Linked DNA regions of Sus scrofa. The protein of the gene in region 4 interacts with the protein of the main gene of each other region in a pairwise test. Links are inferred from orthologs where the notes say so. Each region holds a gene or a part of one and is shown on either strand. Other genes may lie near its edges. The genes, in order: CEP68, BFSP2, TXLNA, USHBP1, COPS4, melanoma-associated antigen B4-like and CCHCR1.

Region 1 (3,500 bases), on a different chromosome or scaffold from region 4:
TATCGATGACTTCTGCAGTCATGCTTGCGGGCAATGGGTCTGCCACAGAAAATTGAAGTGCAGAGCACCCCAGTCGTCAGCAAGCTCAGGGGTGAAGCTGAGTGATGGAAAGCACCACACTGAGCTGTAGTTACCACAGGAAGACCCCCAATCTTCTTCCTGGCCATGTCAGAATCTCTCTTTTTCAGGTCCAGGGGCTTCTCCTAGCCTTTCATTTGTTTCAGTAGCTCTTAGCTCAACAAACTTCTAGGAATCCACCACCTGCTGGAGCAGGAGCTCTGTACCTTATCCAGCACTGGGGTCCGAGGACAGTTTTTCTTCTCTTGGGTTGCTCTACCTACCAGGCTAATCCCCTTCACACTGGCGCTCCTGTGTGCCATGGGCGTGCCGTCAGGGACGAGGGTGCAGCCAGCCAGCCTGTCCAGGGAGGCTAAGATGGTGTCGTACAGGTGATCCGCGTGGCTCTCCAGCTCGCTGGGCTGCCTGGAGATCCTCCCGAGGATGTCCTTTAACACTAACACACGAGGGTTACAGAAGTCAGGCCCAAGAAACAACAGTAAGTATGCTTTTAAAAGAGCATACGAGGATGTAGTACTTTATACAACACAGGAACATGGCAATAGTTTCAAAATGTCTGCTTTTTTTTTTTCTTTTTTTCCTCAACAGTGACTCCCTAGGCACTAATGCACTAGAGGATCTACGGTAAATTGTGATTAAAGCTGAGAAAATTGCCATGAGCTGTGGTGTAGGTTGCAGACGCGGCTCGGATCCTGCGTTGCTGTGGCTCTGGCGTAGGCTGGCAGCTACAGCTCCGATTAGACCCCTAGCCTGGGAACCTCCATATGCCGTGGGAGTGGCCCAAGAAATGGCAAAAAGACAAAAAAGACCAAAAAAAAAAAAAGCTGAGAAAAGAGGTTCACTGGCTCCACTTGGAAGGACATACTTCACAAAAAGGCACAGAGACATGGTTATCTGGTGCCTGGTATGATCCGACTTTTAGAGATAAGGCCCAGGGTGCACACCCAAATCCTGTGGGGCAGGAGTCTGAAGTGAAACAAAGCAACATGTCAAAATTAGGACCTGGTTCTAATCAGGTCCTATCAGCTTCTGTAGGCTGTGGGACTGTCTTTTCACAAGTGTATGAGTGGTCTGGTAATATAATATGGGAAGGCCCATCAACCGTTTTTTGCAAATCCTAAATGAACGGACTTCAAAAGAAAATGACCTGGAAGCAGGCTAGGACAAAACGGTTAGTGAGGCCAAGATTCCGTCCCCCACAGGCCAAGTGTTCATCTGAGGAAGGGATGGGCTACGTTCAGGGTGCATCACACACAGGAGGCTTGTTTTTTTTCCCTCAAAAACTTTTATTTCCTTTGTGAAACATAAAGGCTGCTTTTGCTTCCTGCACCTTTATCAGCTGTGTTCACACTCTCCCTAGTTTCCTGCCACAGCTGCAACATCTGCTAGTGGCGGAAGGGAAAGGGGAAGCTGCATATCTGCAGAGGGTGCTGACGGATGGGCGGAAGAAAGAATGGGCTGGCCGTGTTGAGATCAGCCTCTGGGGAAGCCACACAGTGCAGTGACCTTAGGGCAAAGTACCATCCTGAGAGCTTAGAGGCAGCAGGGCAGGCTGAGGAATGCCACCATAGTGCAGCTCACCCCTCACTTTGTACGTGAGGCAAATGGCTGGGTTCTCCCCTGCGCCTTCGCCAGACCTTTGCTCAGTCCTCCGGGTGCAGTCAGTGGAGTTCAGAGGACCCTTTTATTTTTTTTTCTTCTGTTTTTTAGGGCCACACCCACGGCATGTGGAGGTTCCTAGGGGTCAAGTTGGAGCTGTAGCCGCCAGCCGACACCACAACCACAGCCACACGGGATCCGGGCCACGCCTGCGACCTACACAGCTCACCACAACGCTGGATTCTTACCGCCCTGAGCAAGGCCAGGGATGGAATCTCATGGATGCTAGTCGGATCTGTTTTCTCTGCACCACAACAGGAACTCCCAGGGGAGCTTTATTTTTTTAACTTAGAAACTTAGAACGTTAGAACATTTGACTGGGGTCAAATAAAAGCTGGGAATGGTGGTGAAATTTTTCCGAGTGAGACTTTAATATATTCTAATTGAATACATGCATACAGGGGCCTGGTTCAGCTTAATGTCAGTAGGTTCTAGTCATTTGAGCCAGTATAATGAAGGGTCAATGTGCGACAGGACTGTCAACTCATGCATGGAAGAACCTGGGTCAAAATGTAGTGAAAACACCTGCCCGGTAGCCATGGGGAAGCCTTTGCCTGGAGACTGAGATGGGCACATTTTGAAGCAATTAATTTGACTTCCTGTCCCTAAGGTTCTACCTGTGGCTGAGGAAGAAAGCGGGCTGTGAAGAAGCAGGGGGGTGGGGGCGCGGGTAGTGTTTGTGCTCAGGCTCCGCTGACTGGCTCCAATGACTGACAAAGCGGGTCGTGTGCTCTGGAGAGGACAGCTGTGCACCTAGCTGGACAGGCCCTGTGATTTCCACAAAACAGCCAAGTTCCTGGTTTTTCCAAGCAGAGGATCAGGAGGGGCAGGGTGGCAATCTTAATGAGGCTGGAGACCACAGAATACCCAAATACCTCTTCTTGGGGCAGTAAAATACTCTAGACACCTTTGGAGAGAAGGGCAAAGTGGGATGTTATTACAGATAAAGTACTGAGAGGTTATTACTTTTTTTTTTTTTTTTTTTTAAGGGCCACACCTGAGGCATATGGAGGTTCCCAGGCCAGGGGTTGAATTGGAGCTGCAGCTGCCAGCCTACACCACAGCCACGGCAATGCCAGATCTGAGCCATGTCTTTGACCTACCCCACAGCTCACAGCATTGCCAGATCCTTAACCCACTGAGTGAAGCCAGGGATTGAACTTGCATCCTCATGGACACTATGTCAGTTTCTTAACTCGCTAAGTCACAATGGGAACTCCTTGAATTAATTTTTAAATGAAGGTGCAAGAACCTGTAGCTTGTAAGAGGCCCACTGTTACATGTGGCCTCCAGAAAAGTTTCCTGGTATTGAGCTCTTCCAGCTCAGGCTCCTGCACCTCCAGACACAGCAGCACAGGACCAGTGCACAGGGGCTGGAGCCAGGCTGCCACTCCCTGTGTAGCCTAAGGCAAATTCACAGCTCTGTGAGCTAAGAGTAATAACAGGATCCATCTCACAGGGCTGTGATTAAATGGAAAACAACAACACAACCCCAACTGATACGCTTCAGCACAGCGTCTGGCACTCAGTATTTAGCAAAATGCTGGTATAATTACAAGGGACAAGGAGCTTGGCATACTCTGCTCCAGTAAAAACGAAAACGTCCTAGTGCAAGAAAACACCAGAAGAGCCAATGCAAAGGCCTCTCGCAAGTGGGGACTGCAGAGGCCTAATTCACTCACACTGGGGAATGACTGTCCTGCTGACAACCTTCCGTGGCTCCTCATCCCATCAAAACCCTCCCTGCCTGTTCACAGTTCTCA
Region 2 (3,500 bases), on a different chromosome or scaffold from region 4:
AGGGACAGGGCATCTCTTATGGAGGTTCCCATGAACCCACCTTTGGCAGTGAGTCCTAAGTCTTCAGAGGAAAACCCCAGGCCACATGGAGACATCATCATGAACATGGGACAAAAGCTATAGACAGATGATGCAAACATTATCCCATGAAAGGTTTTTCCAAATCACAGGTGTTAAAGATTCAATGTCAACTGCCACTCAAATGAAGCAACTTTCTGATAAACAAAGGAAGACGACCCAGAGGGGTTGGAACAAATGATTCTCAAAATCCAGGTGGCCCTTTCTGCATCCTCACTGCCATGGAGGGGTTTTCAGATCTCACCAGCAAAACAATAACCCTAGACCAGACTCTGGTCTACATCTACTTTCTACTGATGACATTTTGCCACCAGTAGACACACTTAGGATGGGAATCTGACTCAATGTCCCCACATCCTACGGAATTAGAAAGACTTCAGTAAGATAGTATGGCGACCCCTGCTTAACAGCAGCCATGATTCAAGATAACATCATGACCAAGAATCTCCCATTTCAGCCACAGTGGTCAAAAGAGTGTGGAAAATCTCCTGCTGGGGGGAAGGGTACAGAAACTTGTTTCATCAAAATTTGACTCAGTCCAATTTAGAAAGATATTTACTTGTTTTTTATGTGTTATATGAACAGCCAGATGCTAAATTATAGGTGCATCATAATTAGAACTGCTAAAAAACTGTTAAAGAGGAGTTCCCTGGTGGCCTAGTGGTTAAGGATTCTGCTTTATTACTGCTGTGGCTTGGGTTCAATCCCTGGCCCCGGAACTTCTGCATGCCACTGGCACAGCCAAAAAAAAATGTGAAAGACAGATGCACACAGTTTTTAAAAAGGTGTATGTTGCTCAGCCCTACAGTTTTCAGAGCTTAGTATTGAGAAGATAAGAAGGTTTCAGTCTAATGGGGAGACAGGGTCAATAAATGTAACCATAATATAGTGCTGTCATCTGGGCAATACACACACACACCACACACACACACACACACACGTACTCTGTCCCAGGCCCTGTCTTGTCACTGGGGTTATAGGGACTAGGCTTCTGCCCTCAAAGAGTTTAGTGTTTTCTAGAGGAGACATGCCCCTGAGAAGCTCGGCCCACTATGACAAGTTCAAGGGTATGCCTATGCTTGGGCAGCAGTGAAACCCAGAGGAGGGGCTCCTAACCCAGCTTGGTGGTGGCTGGGGCAAGAGGATATCAAAGAAGGCTTCCTAGGAGAAGTGACCCCTGAGCTTGGGCATCAGATAAGTAGGAGTCAGCCAGGTGAGGAAGAGGAGGAGCTCCAAGCCCAGCTTTGGACTTTAGACAGAGCTCTGTGGCTGCTGTGGGGGCTGCAGAGGAAGAGGAACTGCAGGCAGGGATATGAGCCAGGAGGCCATGGAGGTTACCATGGAGATGAGAGGTGGCTGCAGAAGAGGGAGGCACAAATAGGAAAACGTTTCAGAATATACAAGAGGCAGGACTCTGTGATGATTGACAGGGAAGCAGGTCTAGAGATATGGCTTTGACACAGGCCGGAGCACAGCTCAGAGAGAGACAGGCTCAGGAGGGCATGCAGGGCAACAAGGCGAGGACGGGTTAGCAAGATACGCTCCTAAACACTGAAGAAAACCTTGCTGGGTACGTAGGAGCCAGAGATGTTCCGTTAGACTGTGGGAATCTGGGAAGAGCGCGGCCAGGCCAGCATTCTGACTGCATGGTGGGTGGGGTCACCGTGGAGGGAAGGGGCCTCCAGGGTGAGCAGTCAGGAGCAAAAAGGCCCCCAGGCAGTTCTGGGAGCAAGACTTTGAAGAAACACCTGCAAATTGTCTCTCCTGTGCGTGTGTGTGAATTTCTCTCATTTTTCTTCTCATTCATCTGCCTCTCCTTTTCTCTCATCATTCTGTCTCATCACAGTCTCCATTCCTGTCCCTCTCCCCTCATCCCTTCTCTACTCTCTCCCCACCCCCCCCCCCACCCCCTCAGGAAGAATCAGTAAATTAGACTAAACAAGACTCCGACCTCCCCAGGAACCTTTTCAGTCCCTTAAGGTCATTGTCCTGGGAGACATGGACAGCCCCAGAGACGCCAGCCCCTCCCACTGCTCCGCCCACCTCCCTCTTCCAGGGCCCTGCCTGGCGGCTTGGGATCTGGACCGCATTCCTTCTCTCCTAGAAACGAGGCCTGGAGAACACCCTGCACGACGCCAAGCACTGGCATGACATTGAGCTGCAGAACCTGGGCGCCGTGGTCAGCCGCCTGGAGGCGGAGCTCCGGGAGATGCGCTCTGAGGCCGAGCAGCAGCTACAGGCCCGCGAGCACCTTCTGGCGCATAAGTGCCAGCTGCAGCGGGACGTGGCAGCCTACCACGCTCTGCTGGACCGCGAGGAGAGCAGGTGCGTCTCTGCCTGGCTTTTGTCAGGAAAGGAGGACACACCCGTGGGTTTCAATTAAACATTTTTTCAAACACTATAGAAGCAACTAAGGTAAAAAGGAGAAATCGGGAGTTCCCGTAGGTAGCTCAGCAGAAACCAATCCAAGTAGTATCCATGAGAATGTGGGTTCAATCCCTGGCCTGCTCAGTGGGTTAAGGATCTGGTGTTGCTGTGGTTGTGGTGTGGGCCAGAGGCTGCAGCTCTGATTGGACCCCTAGCCTGGGAACTTCCATATGCCGCGAGTGTGGCCCTAAAAAGCAAAAAAAAGGACAGGAGTTCCCGTCCTGGTGCAGTGGTTAACGAATCCGACTAGGAACCATGAGGTTGCGGGTTTGATCCCTGCCCTTGCTCAGTGGGTTAACGATCCGGTGTTGCCGTGAGCTGTGGTATAGATTGCAGACGCGGCTCGGATCCTGCGTTGCTGTGCCTCTGGCATAGGCCGGTGGCTACAGCTCCGATTCGACCCTAGCCTGGGAACCTCCATATGCCTCGGGAGCGGCCCAAGAAATAGCAACAACAACAACAACAACAAAAGACAAAAAGACAAAAGACAAAAAAAAAAAAAAAAAAAAAAAAAGGACAAAAAAAAGAGAGAGAGAGAAATCACCCCACGGGCTTCCCAACACCCACCCCCACTCCCACTGTGTCCTCCCAGGATATTCTGTTCATATATACATATATCCATGAATCTATAGACAAATATATAATATATATGTGTGTATAAATATACGTATGGGCATCTGTATACATTCACACACCCACAGACAGTACCTCTGTGTGTTTTCACGTACATCGTACATACATGGAATCTGTTAGGAATGCTTTCAGCTGCACGTGAGACCCTAATTAGTGCTCCTGAAACTTTAATGACCCTAAACCTGGGCATCTTTTTAAAAATGCAGATTCTGCTTCCGGTCTGGGATGGGGCCTGAGACTCTGCACTTAAGATAAAACTCTCAAGTGATGCCTATACTGCTGGTCCAAAGACCACACTTTGAGCAGCCAGGACATAAAACATGTTTACCTAAGAGTTCCAGAAATCAAGTAGGCTAGGCTGC
Region 3 (2,904 bases), on a different chromosome or scaffold from region 4:
GGGCAGGGGAAGCGGTGCCTGAGGAGCTCCCTACCAGCACATCATCCTGCACAGAACATTCTCCAGGTCCCTTGTCCTAGGCAGGAAAGCAGTTCCATTGCCAGCTGAGTACCCTGTCAACGCTCTGCCCGGTGACCCCTCTTCCGGGTCAAGAGAAGCAAGGGAGCTCCTCCCAGGGGGGCTAGGAGAGCCCGAGCTGCCCAAGTCCCGCTAACAGGAGAAAGACAGTCAGGGCCTGGGCATTTCATCTGTCACGAGTCCTGAAAGGCAGGGAGGAAGGGGCTGAGTCTCAAATAGGGCAGGGAAATGCTCAAGTCACTTGTCCTGCCAGCTCACTGTGACAGCAGCCACAGATGACAGCTCTAAGACTCTTCAGCTCACGGAAGAGCCACTGACTTCATCTGTACACATCCCCACCTCCAGTGCAAGCCCAGTTTACACTTACAGATATAAATGTATGAGGCCTTGCACATATGCCATACGTATGCAAAACTGACCCATAAAATCCCAAACTGCAGAGTCTGATGCCAGCCAGGTCAGAGCACCCTGGGTCTCAGCGGTGGGAGCCTTGCATGGGCCAGGCCTGGCTGGGCTGCTCGCTCCCTTCCCTGTGCAGGCTCCCTAGGCGGTGGCGGGGGCGGGCTCCTGGGGCCCCATTTGGCCTGATGCTTCCATGCTTGATGCTCCAGGGCAGCAAGGTGCTTCGGTGGCCCTTGGGGAGCTAGGTGCTAGGACCCTGGGCCCCTCACCACCCTGTTCCTTGGAGGCATTGGCAGCCTCTTGCCTTTGCTCAGAGCCCCCATCAGTGAGGGGGCCCTGGCCTCCAGCACTCAGGTCCTGCACCCTCTTGTTCAGGTCATTGCGCTCTGACTGCAGCGCCCGGCACAGCTTCTCCAGCCGCTGGATTTTTACCTGCAGCCCCTCCAGCTCTTTGTCCCGCAGTGTTTTCTAGGGAGAGAAAGGGGAGCCTTCAGTGCCATGCCATCAACCTCCCACACAACACTGCCATGTGGCAGAAAACATTCACACACTAACAATGCTGGGGACAGGAGTTCCCGTTGTGGCTCAGTGGAAACAAATCCGACTAGGAACGATGAGGTTGCGGGTTCGATCCCTGGCCTCGCTCAGTGGGTTAAGGATCCGGCATTGCTGTGAGCTGTGGTATAGGTTGTAGACATGGCTCGGATCCTGCGTTGCTGTGGCTCTGGCATAGGCTGGCAGCAATAGCTCCAATTAGACCTCTAGCCTGGGAACCTCCATATGCCGCGAGTGCGGCCCTATAAGGACAAAAGACGAAAACAAACAAACAAAAAACAATGCTGGGGACAGACCAGAGTCAAAAACCGGCCCCTTTCCAGGTTTACGCTGAGACTCTGACTGTCGGTCAGGCGCAGTGTGGTGTTGAGAACGGGCAAAGCTTGGAGGTGACGGAGTCCTGCATTTATCCACCTGATGGCCTTGACAAAGTACTTGGCTTTTGAGCCTATCTCTGTATCTGTTAAAATGGACCACTAACAGTTCTCAAGAGAGCTCTATGAACCAGCACATCTAAACACTCAGCAGGGCCCAGCAATCAGTTACTTTCTTTTCCTACATCTCAAGCCACACAATTAAATGATCTGGGTGGCTCTGCACACAGGCTCCACAATCACTGCCCCTTGTTTTCTGCTCCTTTCTTCCATCCCCTCCCACTACAGACCTACTGCTAAGCTCACCACCTCCCCTGGAGAGACAGCCAATGGTGCTTTTGGACTTGGACAGACGTGCACATGGGTCCTAGCTCCACGTGGTGCCAGCTGCCTCACTTCTCGGTAGAATGTACAGGACATACACCCCAGCCCCAGAGGCAGGTCGCACTCAGCCCACCTCCTCTGCCATCTCAAGCAGGGCCTTGTTGCTGCTCTCCCACCGGGACCGGTACATGGTGGTTTCTTTCTCCAGCTTCTTGATCTTCTTAGTCATCTGGGTTATGGAACATACAGAATGAAATGGTCAGGGGACTCGGCTGTCTGTGCATCTCCAAGGTGGGGAACAGACCCAAGGGCATGAGGTCCTACAGGGCGTGGTCAGTGCCTTCTGTGCCACCCTAGGAGGTCTCAAGTGCCCACCACCAATACAGGCAATGACAAGACCGCCTCCTCTCCAGGACAACCTAAAGGGCACACGTACCAGCCATGTGTCTGTCCCTAACAGGGTGGAAAGGCTGTGAGCCTCCTCACAGCCCACTTACACCCTCCTCATGGTAGCAACCACACCCCCACTGTAAACAGTTCGCCGTGAAGCACCGCGGGGATGGGGGCTTTCTGAAGGCAGGCGCAGTGTTTTTTTTTTTTGCGGGGGGTGGGGGGCAAACTTGGGGCATGTGGAAGATCCCAGGCTGGGGAATCATCTGCACCACAGCAGGCACTGGAGCTGCTGGAGTGACAACAACGGATCCTTAACCCCCTGTGCCACAAGGAACCCCCGCCCAATGTTTAATTCTGAATGAAGCCACTTGTGCTCCTGCAGCCACACCCAATCTGGAATACAGTTACCTTTTCCATCTCCTGTTTGAATGTGGTGAACACCTCACTGCTTTTGGAAAGAGTGTTCTGGAACTCTTCAAACTTCTCGGTGTATAGGGCAAGCTGGGTGAGAAAGAAACGCACAAGTAAGACAGGGCTTCTCTGGAGGGCACTTCTGGTCAACACACTCAGACCCATCCTTGACCTCACGCCCCAACAATTCTAATGAGATACCGGTTTCCTTTAAAACAAAAACTATATATTTGGAAAGATATAATCTAAAATGCTAAGCCTAAAAAGTAGGATTTGGGGTGACTTGTTTTATGCCTTTACGTTTTCCAACTTTTCTTTGGGAAAGAAGTCTAATTTATATAATTTTTTTTTTGGGTATTTTCTAGGG
Region 4 (3,500 bases):
GTTCATCCATCATTCATCACTGATAGATGATTTTGATCATTGAGGTTTACAGTGTGGTACCCACCATATTGGTTTGACCATGCCCACCACAGATGGCATAGGAAGGACCCATCACAGTCAATAGGATGGAAGACAATGGAGCCCACCAGTGCTGACATAGGATCCTCTTCTGTTTCCTGTAGCCGCGAGGGCAACAGTGTGGATAAGCCCACACTGCAGGAGGTGGCTACCCAGCTCCAAGGCTATGTTCAGCGTCTCCAGGAACGCCGTGCTCTTGTGAAGATTCCTCCAGAACCTGGCCCTACCTCGGCACCCACGTCCACTGTGCCCCATGCTGAAGCCATGGTGCAGGCCATTCTGGGGACACAGCCTGGCCCGTCGCTGCCCCGGCTAGAGAAGACGCAGATCCAGCAGGAACTGGCAGCCACACGGGTACACAAGGGCTGTGGTCACTGTATCAGTCTTTCCTGGTGGAACCAAACTCTTTGCTGAGTCAGAGAGAAATGTGATTGGGGGACCCAGTAGAAAGGGAGCGTTTTGCTGGACTGGGGACTAGCTTCCTGGAGGGAGGAGATTTGGAGCTGGGGTTTTGAGGGATGAATAGGAATTTGTCCTCCGGCTTTCAGTTTCTCATAAGATTCCAAATCTAGCTTCCCAAAATGCCCCTCCTATGGAAAAGAAAGAGGAAGGGGCCATAATCTGAGGTTTGTAGCCTGGCATGAAAGAGCTGAGGTTTTGAATTTGGAGAAACTCCGGACACTTCCACTGAGCTGCTACTTGACCTTGTTTAGGATACTTGCTCTCTATGAACTGGCATTTCTACAAGCTGTTTTTTGTTTGTGCGTTTGCTTTTTAAGGCTGCACCCATGGCATATGGAAGTTCCCAGGCTGGGGGTAGGATGGGAACTGCAGCTGCCAGCTTATGCCACAGCCACAGCAATGGCAGATCTGAGCCTCATCTGCCACCCACGCCACAGCTCATAGCAACGCCAGATCCCTAACCTACTGATCGAGGCCAGGGATCAAACTGCATCCTCATGGATACTAGTCAGATTCATTTCTGCTTCGCCACAAAGGGAACTCCCTACAAGCTGTTGTGTTTTTTTGTTTGTTCGTTTGTTTTTGTCTTTTTGTCTTTTTAGAGCTGAACCCGTGGCATATGGAGATTCCCAGGCCAGGGGTCCAATCGGAGCTGTAGCCACCAGCTTACACCAGAGCCATAGCAATGTGGGATACGAGTTGCATCTGTGACCTACACCACAGCTCATGGCAACACCGGATCCTTAACCCACTGAGCAGGGGCGTGGATGGAACCTGCAACCTCATGGTTCCTAGTCGGATTCATTAACCACTGAGCCACAACGGGAACTTCACAAGCTGTTGTTTTTAATGGGAAGATGATATTTCCCATCATGCAAGATCATGAAGGGAGAGTTCCCTTCATGGCTCAGCGGTAACGAACCTGACTAATATCCATGAGGATGCGGGTTCGATCCTTGGCCTGGCTCAGTGGGTTAGGGATCCCGCATTGCTGTGAGCTGCAGTGTAGTTCACAGACGTGGCTCAGATCCCCAGTTGCTGTGGCTGTGATCTAAGCCAGCAGCTGCAGCTCTAATTGGACCCCTAGCCTGGGAGCTTCCGTATGCCACAGGTACGGGCCTTAAAAAAAGAAAAGAAGGAGTTCCCGTCGTGGCGCAGTGGTTAACAAATCCGACTAGGAACCATGAGGCTGTGGGGTTCGGTCCCTACCCTTGCTCAGTGGGTTAACGATCTGGCGTTGCCATGAGCTGTGGTGTAGGTTGCAGACGCAGCTTGGATCCCGCGTTGCTGTGGCTCTGGCGTAGGCTGGCAGCTACAGCTCCGATTCGACCCCTGGCCTGGGAACCTCCATATGCCGCGGGAGCAGCCCAGAGAGATAACAAAAAGACCAAAAAAAAAAAAAAAAAGAAAAGAAAAAAGACAAGATCACAGGGACGGTTTGTGTTCCTGCCTGACCAGCCCTCAGTGGGTGCCCCCTGGAGTTCAGTTTCCCCAGCAGTTGACCCTAGAGGTGAAAATTCTCTCCCCTTTCCCTGGTCTGCCAGGAGACCCTGGCTGACCTGACGCTGAGGCTACAGCTGGTGCGACGGGAGAAGCGGGCTCTGGAGCTGCGAGAGGCTGCCCTCCGAGCACAGGTCCCAGCCCATGTACTCCTGCTGGAGCAGCTGCGCTGGGAGCGGGCACAGCTCCAGACGGGTGAGGCCAACAGCAGCGGTGAAGACAGCAGTGGAGGCGCGACCAGCGGAGAGGAGGAGTGGTCCCAGGTGAGTTGGCCGTGCCTGGACCTGGTAGGAATAGCTGTATACTAGTGACTGTGTGGTTCCGGTTAATCATTGCCCCCTTTGGGGAGTTCCCTGGTTACTCAGCAGGTTAAGGAGCCAGTGTTATCCCCTCTGTGGCTCAGGTCACTGCTGTGGTGTGGGTTCAATCCCTGGCCTGGGAACTTCCGAATGCTGTGGGTGCAGACAAAAAAAAAAAAAAAAGAATCATAGCCCCCTTTGAGTCTCAGTTTCCATTTCTTTTCTTTTTTTGCTTTTTAGGGCTGCACAGGCAGCATATGGAAGTTCCCAGGCTAGAGGTAGAATTGGAGCTGCAGCTGCCGGCCTAGGCCACAGCCACAGCACAGGATCTGAGCTGCATCTGTGACCTACACCAGAGCTCATGGAAACCCTGGATTCTTAACCCACTGAGCAAGACCAGGGATCCAACCCGTGTCCTCATGGATACTAGTTGGTTTCATTATCGCTGAGCCATGACGGGAACCTCTCAGTTTCCATTTCTTCACACACAAAAAGAGCTAATGGTTAAGCTACATTTCAAAATTCCCACTTCTACTTTGGGGTTTCTTTCTTTGAGGGTATTTATTGAGCCCAATAAGCCCCAAGGGATTTAGTGTCTTCCACTCAAACCTGTGCCTCCTCCTTCCCACCCCCAGTCTTATTCATACTTCCCCTTCTCCATTCCAACGGTCCCAGCCTATGCTTCATTTCTTCCGAAGTTTTGGCTCCAGCTTCCTCTCTGAGGCTTTCCTTTTTGCCCCTTACTGTCTAATCATGCCTGTTCTCTGCTTAAAGCCTTAGTGGCTTCCGGAACCTTCCTTTGAATCACCTCTCCTACCTCCAAGCCTTTAGAAATGCTGTGACCCTGCTGGGAACACCAGTCACTTCCCTCCTTATCTAATTAAATTCTCAACCTCCTACAGGCCTGAACTCAGACATCACCTCCTCCAGGAAGTTCTCCTGGATTGCCTAAAAAGGAGATCCCCTGTAATTTTTTTCCCTTGTTAGGGAGTACCTGTACCCTTATGGAGGTACCTAACCAGAGTGGGGGCTCTGAAGGCGAGGGCTGTGGCCACGTGGCCACAACATTCTGGGTGATTTCAGTGTCCAGCTTGGGCTGAGCCCACACTCAGGCTATGCTAATGTCGCTACCCTCCCTTCTACCTCCCACAGAGCCTGCCT
Region 5 (3,500 bases), on a different chromosome or scaffold from region 4:
GAGTTCACAATACTAATGCTACTTGATAGTGTGCTTTCACATACATTATGTATCACACAGCTTCTTTTCATAACCCTCTACTGAAAATGCAGCTGTAGATAGCCCTGTATAATAGATTTTAAAATGTGTCTCAGGATTAAGTGACCTTTTTTCCCAAGGACATTCAGCTAGTCAGTGGTAGAGCCCAGACTAGAAACTAGATTTTCTGATTTATAATTCTTCTTTTACTTATACTTCCCTGAGAAGGCTAGTTTGTATACTAATTTCTTTCTTTCTTTTTTCTTTTTCTTTTTTTGTCTTTTCTAGAGCTGCACCCGCGGCATATGGAGGTTCCCAGGCTAGGGGTCTAATCGGAGCTGTAGCCACCAGCCTACGCCACAGCCACAGCAACGCCAGATTGGAGCCCTGTCTGCGACCTATACCACCGCTCACAGCAGCGCCGGATCCTTAACCCACTGAGCGAGGCCAGGGACCGAACCCGCAACCTCGTGGTTCCTGGTCAGATTTGTTAACCACTGAGCCACGACAGGAACTCCTATAGTGGTTTCTTTCTAATAGTTATAGGCGTCTACGGCACTTTTAATGAAACTGTTTTCTGGAGTTCCCATCATGACGCAGCGGGAATGTGTTAAGTGCCATGTGCCAGGTATTATTTAAAGTACTTTATATAAATACTGCACTTAAGCTTCACGACAGCCTTATCCACATTTCACAGAAGAGGAAAGAGAAGCACAGAGAGGTTAAGTTTTTTGTTGGAGGGCGTATAATCAGGAGTGTTTGGAAGTGGTGTGGCTCCAGAGTCTTCATCCTTCATCACATGTAATCATACCTCATAAATGTTTATAAACAGTATCGTGAAATATGTCTATACATCTAGTGCTGATCAAAGATCTTATTTTTTCTTTTTTTGGGGAAAGTACAAGTGGCAGTAACTGTCACTACTTGCTCTATTTAAACATCATGAAAATTATTTCGCTTTCTATTCATTTTTGTAGTGAAGTGGGATATGAGAACACAAATGAAACTATAGGTTTTTCTACTCAACATCACTAATTATTAGAGAAATGCAGCTTAGAACTATAATGAGGTCCCACCTCAGACTGGTCAGAATGGCCATCATTAAAAAGTATACAAATAACAGGGAGTTCCCGTCGTGGCGCAGTGGTTAACGAATCCGACTAGGAACCATGAGGTTGCGGGTTCGGTCCCTGCCCTTGCTCAGTGGGTTAACGATCCGGCGTTGCCGTGAGCTGTGGTGTAGGTTGCAGACGCGGCTCGGATCCTGCGTTGCTGTGCCTCTGGTGTAGGCCGGTGGCTACAGCTCCGATTCAACCCCTAGCCTGGGAACCTCCATATGCCGTGGGAGCGGCCCAAGAAATAGCAACAACAACAACAAAAGACAAAAAAAATAAATAAATAAATAAAAATAAAAATTTGTTAAAAAAAAAAAAAAAAAAAAAAAAAAAAAAAGTATACAAATAACAAATGCTAGAGAGGGTGTGGAGAAAAAAAACAGCCTATGCTGTGGGTGGGAGGTTCCTCCAAAAACTAAAGAGAATTACCATATGGGAGTTCCCACTGTGGCCCAGTGGGTTAAGAATTCAACTAGGATCCAAGAAAATGCAAGTTCAATCCCTAGCCTTGCTCCGTGGGTTAAGGATCTGGTGTTGCCTCGAGCTGCAGCGAAGGTCACAGCTGTGGCTTGAATCTGGGGTTGCTGTGACTGTGGCGCAGGCCTGAGGCTACAGCTCTGATTCACCCCCTAGCCTGGGCACCTCCATAGGCCTCAGCTGCAGCCTTTAAAACAAAAAAAACCAAAAAAAAAAACCAATGCCTTTCGCAGTAACATGGATGCAACGGGAGGATTATTATAAGTGGAGTAAGTCAGAAAGAGAACAGCAAACACCACACCATATCACTCACAGGTGGAATCTAAAATGTGGCACAAACGAACCTATCTACGAAACAGAAACAGACTCGTGGTTGCCAGTGGGGAGGGGGAGGGAGAGAGATGTACTAAGAGTTGGGGTTAGAGGATGCGGAGCGATGTCCTTTAGAAAGGAAAAACAAGAACGTGCTACTGTGCAGCACAGGGAACTGTTTCCAGTCTCCTGGGACAGACCATGATGGAGCAGAATGTAAAAAAGCACGAATGTCTGTGTAGAACCCAGGCACTCTGCTGTCCAGCAGAAATTGGTGCAACATTGTAATCAATGATACTTTAATGAAAAAAGAGACAAAAGTAACAGTGTTTCGGAGTTCCCATTGTGGCACAGAGGAAACGAATCCGACTAGGAAGCGTGAGGTTGTGGGTTCGATCCCTGGCTTTGCTCAGTGGGTTAAGGATCCAGAGTTGCTGTGGCTGTGGTGTAGGTCGGCGGCTACAGCTCCGATTAGATCCCTAGCCTGGGAACCTCCATATGCTGCAGGTGCGGCCCTAAAAAGCAAAAAAAAAAAAAAAAAGTAATAGTGTTTCTTCACTTTATAGAGAAATAAAGAAGAGAAAGGAATGATATAAAATTCTCAACTGTTGAAACTTTTCCCCAGCCATTTCTGTTTCTTAGAAAAGTTGTGGTATTTTTACTGTTTTGCTGTAGTTATGTAATCAGATAATTCAGCATAAGGAAAACTGGTTCTGTAATATAAGAGTGTGTGGAGTGTGGAGATCCCTAAACAATGCTTTGAGAGGTTCACTAATACATATGATTTTTAGTATTAATTTTAGTAAAGATGGATTGCTTAATGGAAACACATAAATTACTCATGTTTTCTTATCCCTTATTTTTTTTAACAAGTGGTAAATGAGAACGTTAGCCTCGTGATCTCTCGCCAGTTGCTGACTGATTTCTGCACACATCTCCCTAACCTGCCTGATAGCACAGCCAAAGAAATCTATCATTTCACCTTGGAAAAGATCCAGCCTAGAGTCATTTCATTTGAGGAGCAGGTAAAACCTAGAGCACTGACTTTTGTTTTGCTTTGTTTTTAGGAATCTGTTTAGGATGTGTTTTCTTTTTAAATTGAGGCATAGTGGATGTACAATATTATATATATATAAGTTTAGGTGTAAAACAGTGATTCATAATTGTTAAGGTTATATTCCACTTACGGTTATTATAGAATGTTGGCCATTAGAGTGGTGATTTTTGACCTTGAGATAGCAGCAATTATTTTTAGAGACGCCGTTACATTTTTAAAGGTGATAATCATTGTTTCATTTTTACAAAACAGTGTGCCAAACATTTTTTTTTTTTTTTGCTTTTTTGGGCCACACCTATGGCATATGGAGGTTCCCATGGTAGGGGTTGAATCGAAGCTACAGCTGCCGACTTACACCACAGTCACAGCAAGGCAGGATCCAAGCCGCATCTGCAACCTACACCACAGCTCATGGCAACGCCAGATCCTTAACCCCCTGAGTGAGGCCAGGGATCGAACCCAAAACCTCATGGTTACTACTCAGATTTGTTTCTGGTGCGCCACAATAGGAACTCCCCGAA
Region 6 (3,932 bases), on a different chromosome or scaffold from region 4:
CAACATTTATGAAATCCCTACTCTGTATCATGTCCTGTGCTAGACACTGAGACTTTATAGAAAATGGTAAATAATTTCTGTTCCCAATATATCAACACATACTTATGGTAATTCATTACCTGCTGAAGTTACTGGTTTTATGACTTGTCCTGTGCTCACTGCAAATAATTGCACAATTTGCACTAGTCATCACTTCTGCTTGGAAGTTCCTCTTCTCACTTTTCCATCTGTGAATGCCATATTCATCCGTTCTTTAATATCCAGCCCCAAACAGCTTTTATCTCTCCAATAAAGACTCTATTTTCCCTCTTCTGAGCTCCACAAGGACCAATCATTTGTGTGTGTTTGTCTCTTTATGCATTGGTCTCCTTGTCAGCAGGGTGACATTCATCTTATCACTAGCACCTAGCACAAAACTTGGCGCATACTCAGTGTTTCATTAGGGTGAGCTGTGTTGACTTGGGGGAAGTAGCTCAAGTGCATCTCCTCTGTGTGTGAAGAATGTTTTATAATAGAGTGATCACAAAAGACTCCATGCCCCTCACCCCCAAGGAAACTGAAGCACATCAGAAAGCAAACCCGGTCCATATCTTAGGAAAGGTTCTTCAGTGACACAATCTTGGAAGTGGAATTGGGCCGTCTTCTTCATGACATGAGCTGTGGCCTCTTGGTGCTGAGGACCCCATTGTTGACACAGCTAGCCATGTTTTCATTAATTTGAATCAAGAAGCCATTTGGCAGCGGAGTATTACTGACTCTGGCATACTAATTATGTTGGCACTTCCCCCCCTTTTCTGACCAAAGGGAAAAGGTTGTAAGGAGATTGCTGCAACGGAGGGAAGGAAAGCAATTCAGGAAAGGCCCCATACACAGCCCAAAACACAAGAATACACAGTTAAAAATACAAGAATATTTCACAGATTGCCGGATGTCATAATTCTTCTCCACCTGTCTGCAAGAGTTCAGTGCTAATCTTCTATTCAGTTTTGTGGGTGTTAATTTACATAGAGCAAATATAGGTGAGAGAGTTGAAATGATGGGTGCTAAAAATTTTAGTTCCTAGGCTGTGTTGTTGACTTTGACTAGGAAATCAAGATTTAACTGTGCCTCACTTTTTTTTTTCCACTTTAAGAAATAATCGTAATCCAAAACTAACATGGTAGCCAAAGTTCTGCAACAGCTATGGACTCAAAAGATGGCTAAAAATCCTCAATAGAAACTCTCCCGTAATTAAGCAGCACCCGGCAACACAGGTGAGAATTATTAAACACTACAAAATGATGCCAGTTCATTGAGGCAAGTATTGAAAAGGGTGGAATTAATCTACCCATTATTATACTGACTTATTTCATTGAGGCTGTGCCTATAAGGAACATTAAAGGTCAGGGGGTGTGGTGTTCACTGTGTATATAGCATAGGAGCTCTGTTGGATATCTGCTGTTTTCCTCTCTAGGTATGTGCTCTTTCCTTCCCTGTTACTTGACTGATGTCTCTGTAGGCCACATTGGCAGGGTTCCTGTACCTTCTGTCTTCTGGTTGGGTTTAACCTACAGGGAGCTCTGGGAGACTGAAGGGAGAAAGGAGAAAGAGAATAGGGTATTTATTCTCCACAATCCTTTCCTGCACCATTGCCTTGGGCTGGCTCTGTTTCTCAAATTATATTCTTGAGTTAGCCTACTCTACATAATTTTGTCATGTTCTGAGTTCCAATAACTTCTCCCTTGTTTCTTAGGACCTAGGGATGGTGACAAACTCCACTGTTACTAGCCTCAGGTTCTTGCCCTATATCTTGTGGTTCCACCTACACCTAAATTAATAGTTTGTACTTAGTAACTTTATCAACCCTCTATGAATTTTTTTAAATTCTAATATGTCATGTGTTTCTGACAAGACAAGGCAAGACTGACAGCAGTAAAGCTTTGTTGAATGAAGTATCCTCAAATAGCACAATAGAAGCTGGGGTATACAAATGTCATTATATGATACAGAAAACAAACTTTCTTCAATGAAGGTCAAAAGATGAAGCATAAACTGTGTCAGCCTTAAAAAAGAAAATGGGTTCCCTGTTATAAGTTTTAAAAGGTGAACAAAAGAACATGTAGGCAGCTCAGATCAATGTTATTTTACCAGTTTGTAGGATACAAGTTCTCAGAGCAGCTTCAAACATTATGCAGTTCTTAAGTACAATTGAAATTTTATAATATACCCACTTAAATCATTGTAATCATTTTCTGGATGAATAGTTCTTAGTGGATATAAGTACTCCTATATCTGATTAGAAAGACATATGTACAAGTATTCATTGTATTTTTGGCATTTTAGGTTGATTTAGCATTAAAAGATGGGGTTAATTGCCAAAAATCACCTAGTGATAAGACGGAAGAAGGATTTTACAAGCATAGCTCATTTTCTGAACAGTTTTACAATGTTGGAAAAATATATCTGTGTGAGTAGAAAATGTCAACTTCTACACTGACAGAAAGCAGCAAATCAAATCGCTCAGGCTTTAAGCAGAATAAGATTCTCCTTACATGATCTGGTGCTACATGTTTGAATAAAGTAAAACCTTCAGCAATCAGGAATCTTCATCTTCTTACAGTTTTTGAAAGTATCATTTTTATATTTATCAGATGCCTTAAGGAGTCCAAGTTCTTACAAATGAGAAAATATTTTTTTTTCTTTCATGATTCTCTCTCATTTTAGATAATGTATCTCTCTTTAAGTTTTTAAAATTAAACACATATATAGCATATTACCTGTAACTCTCAGTAATCTGGAAAAGTAAATCTGCATTTCTTAAAGATTCTTATGATTAGAGTAATGATGCAGCCACTCTATAGTCATATTACAATTATTACACAACTTTCTTACTTGGAAAACAGAACTTAAATTAGCATGCAAGAAATCATATTTTATGAATTATTAAATATGTGTCATTGGTGTTTTAAAATCAATACATATTATTTAGTTACATAAATCAATCAGACTATAGCTAACTTAGGTAACCAGTTATGTGCTGTTGAATCCATGGATTAAATAATTTAAAATGATAGAGTTATGCCAGCAGTGCCAGTAGAAAAACATTTTCTTTTTTTTGTCTTTTTTTTTGCCTTTTCTAGGGCTGTTCCCGTGACGTATGGAGGTTCCCAGGCTAGAGGTCCAATTGGAGCTGTAGCCACTGGCCTACTCCAGAGCCACAGCAACCGCTGGCCTACGCCAGAGCCACAGCAGTGCGGGATCCGAGCAACATCTGTGACCTACACCACAGCTCATGGGAGGGAATGCCGGATCCTTAATCCACTGAGCAAGGGCAGGGATCGAACCTGCAACCTCATGGTTCCTAGACAGATTCGTTAACCACTGCGCCACAACGGGAACTCCAGTAGAAAAACATTTTTAAAGCATCCGCTATGTTCCAGGTGCTTTTGAAGATTCATAACTAAAACATAGTCCTTAGCCTTAGAAAAATTGTAATCAAAAGGAACGGAGAAAGTATGCATGTGATTGAATAAAATATAAGTTGAAACATGATAAATTCCTTCATAGAAATTTTTTTTTGTCTTTTTAGGGCTGCACCCATGGCATATGGAAGTTCTCAGGCTAGGGGTTGAAGCTGCTGGTCTATGCCACAGCCACAGCCACTCCAGATCAAAACTGCATGTGTAACCTACACCACAGCTTATGGCAATGCTGGATCCTTAACCCACTGAGCAAGGCCAGGGATTGAACCTGCATCCTCATGGATACTAATCAGTTTATTAACCTGCTGAGCCACAGTGGGAACTCCCCCTTCAGAGAAATTTTTGAAAAAAAATGGTACAAGTGTGTATAGGATTAGAGCATATTTGGTTGAGTTTATTAGGAGAGAAATCACTGAGGATGTCTGAGGATGAATTAGACCTTGAGGGATCAATAAGATTTCAAAAAGGAAA
Region 7 (2,345 bases), on a different chromosome or scaffold from region 4:
AAGGATCTGACCTTGACACAGTTGCCATGAGCTGTAGTGTAGGTCACAGACTCGGCTCGGATCCTGCGTTGCTGTGGCTGTGGTGTAGGCTGGCGGCTATAGCTCCAATTTGACCCCTAGCCTGGGAACTTCCATATGCCGTGGGTGCGGCCCTAAAAAGACAAAAAAGAAAAAAGAAAAAGCAGATTGTGAGAATAAGCTTTGCAGTTCGCTTAAAAAGATGTAAAGTCATTTAATGCCTTCTTGGGCTGTGGGCTTTGGTCCAAAGAAGAATGCACATAAGTTCATATACCCTGAATGTAGCTTATGGTGCCAGGACAGTCCCACACTCTGGAGATGCATCCGGGGGCCTGCAGGTAAAAATGCCTAAATTACTAGCAATTAGTCCACCGTAGGGCACTCGTTTTAGCCCCTGCAGGTAGATCATCGTCACAGAGTCCTTACGGTAGTCCGTGAAGGTGCAACCCCATGAACCTCACTGTTGTTTTATGAGGACCCAAACGAGAAGCTTATCATAGGTTTGAGGACCAGCAATAGCTGTGCTTTTCTTATGAGCAACTGCATCATTTTTATCTGACCATCACCAAGGGGCGTAAGCTCTCAGATCTTCTTTCACAACTGGCAGGGCCCAGAGGTGGGGCCCCTCCCCTTAGCTTCAGCGTCTCTTGCCCCTGCTCCATTCCCTCTTCCCTGCCTTCCCCACGCGCTTAGCAGTTCTGGGGGGAGGGGGGTCGAGTCTATTTGGATGTGCCGTGGGGTTGAAGGTCGGTGACCTTGTGCCTTCTCCAGCTTTCAGGCCTGGCTCCAGAGCACCATGGCCGAGGTGGAGCGGGCCACGGCCCGGCTGCCCAGCCTCAGCGCCCGCCTCAGCTATGCCGTCCGAAAGGTCCACACCATTCGGGGTGGGTAGAGCAGCCTCCAGATGCGCCCCGCCCCGCATCCTCTTTCCCCTTCCTCCCGTCTCCCCTCTTCCTCGCAAACGCATCTCTCTGTTGCTCTTCTACCTTTTCTCCCCAGGCTTGATGGCTCGAAAACTGGCCCTTGCTCAGCTGCGCCAGGAGAGGTGACGTTCGGGCCACTTTGAGTGGATGGGAGGGGGTGGGGCTTTTCAGATGTCAGTCCCTGGACCAAAAAAGCGAGGCTGGAGGAAGGGTGGGCCTTCCGGGTCAGGCAGCTGGGTGATTCCCCCACCCAGCAGTTTCTCTTCTCTGTCTCAGCTGCCCCCCACCCCCACCGGCCACCGAGATGAACCTCGAGTTGGAGCAGCTGCGGGAAGAGCGGAACCGCCTGGACGCAGAACTGCAGCTGAGCGCCCACATCATCCAGCAGGAGGTGGGCCGGGCCCGGGAACAAGGTATGCCCGGTCCTCGGGTTACTGAGCTGGAGCAGGGGCCAGCGTCTGAGCCTTGGGGATGAAGAGGAAGAGCTGGGTCTAGGGGTGGAGAAGCCTTAGAGGGTGCCATCTCTTCCCAGGGGAGGTGGAGCGGCAGAAGCTGAGCGAGGTGGCCCAGCAGCTGGAGCAGGAGCTGCAGCACACACAGGAGTCCCTGGCCAGTTTGGGGCTGCAGCTGGAGGCAGCTCGCCAGGGCCAGCAAGAGAGCACGGCGGAGGCTGCTGGTCTCCGGCAGGAGCTGACCCAGCAGCAGGAGATCTATGGGCAAGGTGTGCAGAGGGGCATGGCAGACCCGAGGGGGCGGTGGGGACTGTGAAGCAAGCCCCACCCCCCCACACCCCATCTGCACCTCCACCCCAGCGCTGCAGGAGAAGGTGGCCGAAGTGGAAACTCGGCTGCGGGAACAGCTCTCAGAGTCAGAAAGGAGACTGAATGAGGCTCGGAGGGAACACACCAAGGCCGGTGAGATGGGCCGGGGTGGAGGTGGGCTTCTGGGAAGAAGGAAGTGTTGAGGCATGAGGTTATTTTTGAAACTTTAAAGCTTTTTTGGAAGTGTGCAAGTAATGAAGTTACCAGGGAAGATGAATTCTCAGGTGGTAAACACCCATCTACCCGGCTCCCAAATCAAGCAACAGCACGCAAGCCCCCAGCCCTGGAGCCCCTGGGGCCGCTCCCCACCCGTCACTCTCCTTCACAAAGGCATCGTGACATCTCACACCTGACATCCCACACCAATGATCACCCCGATTTTTAATTGGCAAAAATTTCAAACACCTAGCCAAGTTAAAAGAATCATGCAGGAGTTCCTGTTGTGGCTCAGTGGAAACGAATCTGACTAGTATCCATGAGGACACAGGTTTGATCCCTGGCCTTGCTCAGTGGGTTAAGGATCCAGCATTGCCGTGAGCTGTGGTGTAGGTCACAGACTCGGCTCGGATCCCCCGTGGCTGTG

The links.
Region 1: the proteins of USHBP1 (region 4) and CEP68 interact in binary tests that used the Homo sapiens proteins (3 or more experiments, as listed by UniProt). The two-hybrid records come from large-scale screens. The link is inferred for Sus scrofa from reciprocal best matches to the Homo sapiens genes USHBP1 and CEP68.
Region 2: the proteins of USHBP1 (region 4) and BFSP2 interact in binary tests that used the Homo sapiens proteins (3 or more experiments, as listed by UniProt). The two-hybrid records come from large-scale screens. The link is inferred for Sus scrofa from reciprocal best matches to the Homo sapiens genes USHBP1 and BFSP2.
Region 3: the proteins of USHBP1 (region 4) and TXLNA interact in binary tests that used the Homo sapiens proteins (3 or more experiments, as listed by UniProt). The two-hybrid records come from large-scale screens. The link is inferred for Sus scrofa from reciprocal best matches to the Homo sapiens genes USHBP1 and TXLNA.
Region 5: the proteins of USHBP1 (region 4) and COPS4 interact in binary tests that used the Homo sapiens proteins (3 or more experiments, as listed by UniProt). The two-hybrid records come from large-scale screens. The link is inferred for Sus scrofa from reciprocal best matches to the Homo sapiens genes USHBP1 and COPS4.
Region 6: the proteins of USHBP1 (region 4) and melanoma-associated antigen B4-like interact in binary tests that used the Homo sapiens proteins (3 or more experiments, as listed by UniProt). The two-hybrid records come from large-scale screens. The link is inferred for Sus scrofa from reciprocal best matches to the Homo sapiens genes USHBP1 and MAGEB4.
Region 7: the proteins of USHBP1 (region 4) and CCHCR1 interact in binary tests that used the Homo sapiens proteins (3 or more experiments, as listed by UniProt). The link is inferred for Sus scrofa from reciprocal best matches to the Homo sapiens genes USHBP1 and CCHCR1.

The regions. Positions count from the first base shown.
Region 1 is NC_010445.4:76,873,674-76,877,173, forward strand, and holds part of CEP68 (centrosomal protein of 68 kDa), read right to left. Parts: intron 515-3,500; coding exon 342-514; intron 1-341. UniProt on the Homo sapiens protein: Involved in maintenance of centrosome cohesion, probably as part of a linker structure which prevents centrosome splitting. Required for localization of CDK5RAP2 to the centrosome during interphase. Contributes to CROCC/rootletin filament formation.
Region 2 is NC_010455.5:74,634,378-74,637,877, forward strand, and holds part of BFSP2 (phakinin), read left to right. Parts: intron 1-1,493; exon of another isoform or gene 1,494-1,648; intron 1,649-2,182; coding exon 2,183-2,403; intron 2,404-3,500.
Region 3 is NC_010448.4:88,670,051-88,672,954, reverse strand, and holds part of TXLNA (alpha-taxilin), read right to left. Parts: intron 2,628-2,904; coding exon 2,535-2,627; intron 1,963-2,534; coding exon 1,867-1,962; intron 949-1,866; coding exon 622-948; 3' UTR 1-621. UniProt on the Homo sapiens protein: May be involved in intracellular vesicle traffic and potentially in calcium-dependent exocytosis in neuroendocrine cells.
Region 4 is NC_010444.4:60,418,129-60,421,628, forward strand, and holds part of USHBP1 (Usher syndrome type-1C protein-binding protein 1), read left to right. Parts: intron 1-182; coding exon 183-432; intron 433-2,084; coding exon 2,085-2,303; intron 2,304-3,491; coding exon 3,492-3,500.
Region 5 is NC_010450.4:135,300,845-135,304,344, reverse strand, and holds part of COPS4 (COP9 signalosome complex subunit 4), read left to right. Parts: intron 1-2,795; coding exon 2,796-2,947; intron 2,948-3,500. UniProt on the Homo sapiens protein: Component of the COP9 signalosome complex (CSN), a complex involved in various cellular and developmental processes.
Region 6 is NC_010461.5:25,894,292-25,898,223, forward strand, and holds the start of melanoma-associated antigen B4-like, read left to right. Parts: upstream 1-1,132; 5' UTR 1,133-1,253; intron 1,254-3,932.
Region 7 is NC_010449.5:23,545,765-23,548,109, reverse strand, and holds part of CCHCR1 (coiled-coil alpha-helical rod protein 1), read left to right. Parts: intron 1-789; coding exon 790-902; intron 903-1,017; coding exon 1,018-1,063; intron 1,064-1,217; coding exon 1,218-1,354; intron 1,355-1,473; coding exon 1,474-1,662; intron 1,663-1,753; coding exon 1,754-1,855; intron 1,856-2,345. UniProt on the Homo sapiens protein: May be a regulator of keratinocyte proliferation or differentiation.